Linked DNA regions of Callithrix jacchus. The protein of the gene in region 1 interacts with the protein of each later gene in a pairwise test. Links are inferred from orthologs where the notes say so. Each region holds a gene or a part of one and is shown in the gene's direction. Other genes may lie near its edges.

Region 1 (3,917 bases):
CCATCATCTGCTGGTCCAGAAGATAAGCTTTGAGCCTAGAGAAGGTGATCGGGACCCAGATACCCACTGTAGGGCTGTGGGACCCTGGGGGTCTCACTCAACCTCTCTAAGTCTCTGTGGCCTCATCTGCACATGGGTATCACGATAGGACCCACCCCATGGGGATGTTGACATGAGGGAGGATTTGAACTGAAGTCTGCCTGACCCCAGGGCCTGGCTCTGAATTAATGAGGCAAATTATTTGCTTCAAAGCCAAAGCAAGCAAACAGAAATGAATGCAGAATCTCCAACCCACCAAATGCTCGAAGCTAGGCCAGACCCCATGCATGCGCCCTCTTAGTGCTCCTTGTTGGGACTTCTCCACCACCCCCCAATTGCCCCATTCCAAGGCAGAGCCTGGCACCGGTGGCCCAGGTGCAACCATAGCTCTGTGGCCACATGGGCGTCCCCCTGGCAGGGTGGCTCACTATGTGATCTAACACCCAGAGGCCCTGGCAGGAGGCAGGTGTCCTGGAGAATGCAGAGAACATCAGCGTCCACGCCAGGAAGCTCATCTCCTCCTCCCAGCTCTGCCACAAGCTAGCTCTGGCACCTTGGGCAAGACCTAGTCACTTCTACTCTCTGAGCCTCAGTTTTCCCTCTGTAAAATGGGTTGCAATAATAAGCCCACACATACCTTGTAGTGTAGTGAGATGTCGCCATGATACAGTCTGAAAAGCGTGTGTCATGTAGACAGGCAACGAATGAATCTCACATTCTGGAACTGGACACCTTTGGTTCCAGTTCTGGCTCTACCACTCTCGAGCTGTGTCAGCACTCTGCACCTCCGTTTCCTCCTCTGTAAAATGGGTATAACAATGGCACCAACGTCAGAGGCCTGCTGTGAGGGTGAAATAAGAGGATAATGGTACTACCTAGTTCACAGGTTAGTCGTAATGAGCTATTCCATGTGAAGTGCAGGAAAACCTGCTGGTGTAAAGAAACACCAAGGAAGTGAGCTGTCATGTGGGTGGCCCAGGTGGAGGGACCTGTCCCAAGCCTGGCTGGTCTTTGAACGTGTAGCCTGGGCTGTGACCTCTTACCTAAGATCTCCCTGCTTTTCTCCCCTTCTCTCCGATTCCCCTGTTTGACATAGGTGAGATTGGACAGATCTGTGTTCAGGGTCTCCAGGCAGGGATGGGGCTATGGGCTCGAGGACTGGGACCCAGCCCCTCAGCCCCACTCACCACCCCAGCCTTTCTCAGCCATCCGTCCTTCCCAGGAAACTGACAAAGCCAGCCTGCCACTGTACCAGCATATCTGGAGGTCCAAGGGGCAGCCCCAGGGCAGAGGTGATTTTGAGAGCCCACATCCCTGAGCTGAGTGGGGAGGGGTTGAGCCTCTGGGCCACCGACCGCAGGTGCTGACTCATAGCCTCCGATGGGCGGTATAAAAGAATCAGACCAGGGGCTTCCTACAGCCAGAGGGACAAGCTAGCCAGACGATGGCCCAGGGGACATTGATCCGTGTGTCCCCAGAGGAGCCCACCCATGCCGTGTGTGTGCTGGGCACTGTGAATCAGCTTGATGTCTGCAGGTGAGAGGGGGACCTTCTGGGGTTTGGGGGGCAGGTCAGGAGATGCTGGATGAGCCAGTTCTGCTGACACAGGAGCATGTGTTTGGCTCAGGCTCCAGCCTCTGCAGCCACTGCCAGAGGAGCAGCTGGAGAGATAAGACCCCAGCAGCCCTGGGAAGTACCAGACTCATGGCAGTGGGTTCTTTGCCATGTACAAGTGCAAATTCCCCAGGACCACACCACAGATAAATTATTATGGGGCAAATCAGGCCCTCCGCCTTACTGTCTTTGAGGCAACAGAAGCTTAGAGAGGGTCTGTGACTTGCTTAAGGTCACATAGCAAGTGTCCCTGGAAGTCAGGCTAGGCCCTGGGCCTCCTGGTTCACAGCACAGCTTGTTACCCCACACCTCTTAGCCAAGCCTCCCTCAGTGGGTGCGTAATAGCGTGGGTGGGGGTGGTGAAATGGGGCTCTGGCATGGCAGAGACTGAGGTAGGAAGCCTGGCCCTGCTGCTGGCTAGCAGGGGGGCCCTGGGCAACTGAGCCTCAGTTTCCTCATCTGTGAAATGAGAATAATACTCACGATAGGGGTGGTTATAGGAATTCAATGTGAAAAAATGTGCAAATGTTGGTTGAATACTTAGCACACCATTGGGCCCATCCCTAGTAGTTTCTATTCACTCATTTAACAAATCCTGTGTCCCATGCCCTGTGGCAGGGTCTGGGTTAAACAAGAGGGTAGAGGAATGCTGTCAGGGAGTGGGCAGGGCCATTGCTCTCATTGCTGTGTCAGGAACAGGAGTGGTTGCCCCCGGTTTCCCCATCCCAGACGGAGCATGGATGGCCCTAGAATGCTGCCCATAGGAGTGTCAGGGACAGTTCCTTGCAAGTATCACTTGCTGACTGAGCCCCAGCAGCCAGAGAACAGTAGTAAATGTCGGGTGCCTCCACCAGGGCCACCTGGGGGAGGCAGGAGATGAAGAGGTTGGGGGAAAAAGGAAAAAGAAAATTATCCAACATCATTTGAGGCACCCCCAACTCCTCTGAGAATGGGTGTGGAGGAAATGACAGAGGCTGGAGCTAGTCTAGGGCCTCTCCCAGCATGCTCTGGCTGGCCCTCTACCCAGTGTGGGGGAGTAATGCTCAAGGTCACAAGTGCTTCCTCCAGCCCTGGAGAGGTGGGTGGAGAGCTAGTCAGGGTTGGGCAGAGAGGAAGGCACTGCCCATTTCACAGGTGCCTCAGAATCCTTCTTTTTTTTTTGAGACGGAGTTTAGCTCTTATTGCCCAGGCTAGAATGCAATGGCACGATCTCGGCTCACCACAACCTCCACCTCCCAGGTTCAAGCAATTCTCCTGCCTCAGCCTCCCAAGTAGCTGGGATTATAGGCATGTGCCACCACGCCTGACTAATTTTGTATTTTTAGTAGAGACGGGGTTTCTCCATGTTGGACAGGCTGGTCTTGAACTCCCGACCTCAAGTGATCCGCCTGCCTTGGCCTCCCAAAGTGCTGGGATGACAGGCGTGAGCCACCATGCCCGACTGAAATCCTTCTTTTCTCCTCCTTCAGCCAGAGAGTGAGCCCTGTCATTCTATCCCCTGAACATCTCACATCACAACAGCTAATATTTCCTTCATACTTCCTATGTACAACTCATTTAATAGTCTTGGGGCCGGGCGCGGTGGCTCAAGCCTGTAATCCCAGCACTTTGGGAGGCCGAGGCAGGTGGATCACGAGGTCAAGAGATTGAGACCATCCTGGTCAACATGGTGAAACCCCATCTCTACTAAAAATACAAAAAATTAGCCGGGCATGGTGGCGCATGCCTGTAATCCCAGCTACTCAGGAGGCTGAGGCAGGAGAATTACCTGAACCCAGGAGGCGGAGGTTGCCGTGAGCCGAGATCCGCCATTGCACTCCAGCCTGGGTAACAACAGCGAAACTCCGTCTCAAAAAAAAAATAAAAAGTCTTGTGAGGTAGGTAATGTTATTCCCATTTTACAGAAGGTGAAACTGAGGCTGCAGAAGTTAAGTAACCCACCTCAAGCCACACAACTAGTAAGTAGGGGAGCCAGGACTCAACCCAGGCAGCCTGACCCCGGGACCCTCCTCTCTTCCCATGGGTCCTGGTTCCAGCCCTTCCTGTCACTTATCTGTTCTTAACATAGTCCCAGACAGTGCCTCCCTCCCATCTCCTGAGCAGCCATCACCCTCTTCCCCGAACCATTTAGGTGGGAGGGCCACGCTCCCCTCACCTCCACCTCACATATGCATACCTCCACACCTTTGCTCAAGCCATTCTCTCTGTCCCCAAAGTCAGAGATCCCAGGGGTTAGAAAGACCCCTCGGTCACTGAGGCAGAGT
Region 2 (3,817 bases), on another chromosome or scaffold:
AATGTTCATTGCAGCACTGTTTACAATAGCAAAGACTGGAACCAACCAAAATGCCCATCGATGATAGACTGGATTGGGAAAATGTGGCACATATACACCATGGAATATTATGCAGCAATCAGAAATGATGAGTTCGTGTCGTTTGTAGGGACATGGGTAAATCTAGAGAACATCATTCTCAGCAAACTGACACAAGAACAGAAAATGAAATACCACATATTCTCACTCATAGGAGGGTGATGAAAAATGAGAACACATGGACACAGGGAGGGGAGTACTAAACACTGGGGTCTACTGGGGGGAAAAGGGGAGGGCCAGCGGGGGAGGGGGAGCTGGGGAGGGATAGCCTGGGGAAAAATGACAAATGTGGGTGAAGGGGGAAAGGAAGCAAAACACACTGCCATGTGTGTACCTATGCAACTGTCTTGCACGTTCTGCACATGTACCCCAAAACCTAAAATGCAATAAAAAATTAAAAAATATATATACCTCTGTTTGTAAGCCACTGGAAGAAAATGTTTTAAGCACTGTTTGGATAAGGAAAACTTCATGATTTTCTTACTGACCAACAATAATGGTGAGGTTTCACAATCACTAAGGTTTTGTTAATAATGTTCTATTTTCTAGGTGCTGTGTTAAGCATATTATAAGCATTGTTTCTTGCACCACTCAATGGAGCAGTAATTATTTTCCCTATTTTACAGTGAAGAAAACTGAGGCTTAGAAAATGTGTCAATTAATTTCTTTGATTCCAAGCTATACACACTGACTTCAATTTAAGTAAGAAAAGATGAAATAATATAGAACGACACAGAGGGAAAATGGAAATACTGGTAGCTCACAAATTTGAACAGAGAGCTGACCACCTTCAGGAAGAACAGAAAGCAAGGCAGTTCTGGGGGTCTCAGCAGAAGGGAATCATTTCTTTTTTTACTTTTCTTTTAACTCTTTTTTTTTTTTTTTTGGGAGATGGAGTTTCACTCTTGTTGCCCAGGCTGAAGTGCAATGGCACCATCTCAGCTCACCGCAACCTCTGCCTTCTGGGTTCAAGCAATCCTCCTGCCTCAGCCCCCAGCGTAGCTGGGATTACAGACATCTGCCACCACATCCGGCTAATCTTGTATTTTTTAGTGGAGATGGGGTTTCTCCATGTTGGTCAGGCTGGTCTCAAACTCTTGACCTTAGCTGATTGGCCCACCTCAGCCTCCCAAAGTGCTGGGATTACAGGTGTGAGCCACCGCACCTGGCATGTATTTTATTTCTAAAGCAGAGTTTCTGAAGTTTGTTCTCTACTAAAAATGCTAATTCTTGACCCCCTGCTTGAGACTGGCTGAATTAGAATCTCTGAGCATGACACCCAGCGAGTTTAACAGGTTTTTCTGAGGGTAAAGATGAGGCAGTGCTTTTGGCCATCCCTGTGAGCTGCCCAGTTAAAAAGTTCCTAGGAGAGAGTCTAATGGGTCCTGACTGGGGGAAGTGCTCATGTGTTTGGCAGAGGTGTGTTATTGGGTATGGTGTCTCTTGAATGACAGCCCTGTGAAAATCACACTGATGGAAGTGAAGCAGCACCCCAAAGAAGGCGATGGTGAGAAGATAAAATAGATACCTGTTCTAAGAAGGTTCCAGAAAGAGACAACGAGAGGGGAACATACCACATTAAAAAATACTTGGCAAAAAAAAAGCCAACAAATGTAATTGTTTAAGTATTTTAAAAGATGCAACCAGCTGTTATTAACTATGACTCACTTTTGAAGAGGTTGAATTGCTCTAGTTTTGATGAGCCAAAAGGGAGATGAAGGGGAGGTGATTGCCAATGCCAAAATCACAAAAAGACACATTCTGCTTATTAAGGAAACAATGAGAAAGGAAAGCAAATGTCTCCAGAGGCTGTCTCCATTTTATGTGGGAGGGTCCCAGAGAAGGAAAAGGACTTGACTGATGTCCTGCACACATCATGGCATTTCTTCCTCCTTGTCTGGGACCTGTTCCACTCTGCACATCCCTCCTGGGTGCTTGCGCACTTTACTAATTAGTTTCCTCCTGAAATATGCCAAAGAATAAATAGTGTAGGCTAGTTAAAAATGCTCATTCTCTCCATAAATATTAGTTTCCTCTATTTTTTATTCCTGATAATACCATTTTATTGTTGTTTGCAGTGTTTGATGAATACAAAAGGATATCACAGAAGGATATTGAACAAAGTATTAAATCTGAAACATCTGGTAGCTTTGAAGACGCTCTGCTGGCTATAGGTAAGCTGGTAGCAGGTAGGGAGTAGAGGAAAAAAAGTTTGTAGCTTTTCATTCTCATTATCGGTTTGCCACATAGGGTTATATAATTATTTTCGGAGACAAAACTTGTTTGACTCACTCATGGTGCATTCCAGATTTTTTTTTTTTTTTTTGAGACAGAGTCTTGCTCTCCCGCCAGGCGCCAGGTTGGAGTGCAGTGGCACAATCTCAGCTCACTGCAATCTCCGCCTCCTGGATTCAAGCAATTCTCCTGCCTCAGCTTCCCGAGTAGCTGGGACTATAGGCGTGTGCCATCACGCCCAGCTAATTTTTGTATTTTATTTAGCTAGGGTTTCACCAAGTTGGCCAGGATGGTCTCGATCTCTTGACCTCGTGATCCACCCACCTCGGCCTCCCAAAGTGCTGGGATTACAGGCAGGAGCCACCACGCCCGGCCTGCATTCCAGATTTTTAAACAAGAAATATTACATACAACCTGACTGCTATTGTGCCACATGGTTTGTATATTTTGTATCTTCTGTGCTTTTATATGTCCTATGTGAAAGGTAATAATGTACAGATATACAAGCTATAGCTTGCAAGTCTGTGAATGGTTAGAACTAGTAACTGTCTTATATGGCAGAGACAGTAATCCTTATTTTGAAACTAAATACCACCCTTTGCTTTGAGAGACTTTATCAATTACTTCTCCAGAAACTTGATGATAAATCGAGGGTACTTTCTATCTGTGAAAATACATACAGCATAGCCTATGTTCATGAAACATCACTTGGCTAAAATTTCCCTGGCAAAGCAAATAGTGATACCTTGTAGAAACAGAGGAAGCAACTGTCACTTTTCTTTTTTCATGGATCTTATCTGTAATCTTTTCATTTCTTCTTTTTTTTCTTTGACAGTAAAGTGCATAAGGAACAAATCTGCATATTTTGCTGAAAAGCTTTATAAATCGATGAAGGTAAATGGCCTTTTAGCATCTAAATGAATTTGAGTTATCTTGTGCCCACCTTCTTAAGCTTACTTATATCCCCTATCCAAACTTCACCCTGAAAGATTCAATTCAATTCATCAAATACTTCAGTGAGTGCCTGCTAATAATAATACTAGGTGATATTTACTGAGTACTTAGGATGTGTGGATCACTGTTCTTAATAGATTAATTATATCCCCACAACAGCTCTATGAGGCTGATACAATTAACCCCCAATTTACAGATGAGAAAACTGAGGCATAGCAAGGATATGCAGTTTGCCCAAGGTTCTCAGTGAGAAATTAATAGAGCAAGGATGCGAACACCCGGAAGTCTAGCTCCAGAGCCCATATTCCTAAACCACCATCGTATTCTGCAGGCGCCATGCTGAGAATCACAAGAGGTACAGGAAAGGTAAAAATTTAGTCTTTGGCTAGGTGCAGTGGCTCACGCCTATAATCCCAGCACTTTGGGAAGCCAACGTGGGCAGATTACTTGAGGTCAAGAGTTCAAGACCAGCCTGGCCAATATGGCGAAACCCCCGTCTCTACAAAAATACAAAAATTAGCCAGGCATGGTGGTTCACACCTGTAATCCC

The links.
Region 2: the proteins of PADI4 (region 1) and ANXA4 interact in binary tests that used the Homo sapiens proteins (3 or more experiments, as listed by UniProt). The two-hybrid records come from large-scale screens. The link is inferred for Callithrix jacchus from reciprocal best matches to the Homo sapiens genes PADI4 and ANXA4.

What each region holds. Positions count from the first base shown.
Region 1 is NC_133508.1:54,197,090-54,201,006, forward strand, and holds the start of PADI4 (protein-arginine deiminase type-4), read left to right. Parts: upstream 1-1,478; 5' UTR 1,479-1,483; coding exon 1,484-1,575; intron 1,576-3,917. UniProt on the Homo sapiens protein: Catalyzes the citrullination/deimination of arginine residues of proteins such as histones, thereby playing a key role in histone code and regulation of stem cell maintenance.
Region 2 is NC_133515.1:44,085,886-44,089,702, reverse strand, and holds part of ANXA4 (annexin A4), read left to right. Parts: intron 1-2,156; coding exon 2,157-2,252; intron 2,253-3,148; coding exon 3,149-3,207; intron 3,208-3,817. UniProt on the Homo sapiens protein: Calcium/phospholipid-binding protein which promotes membrane fusion and is involved in exocytosis.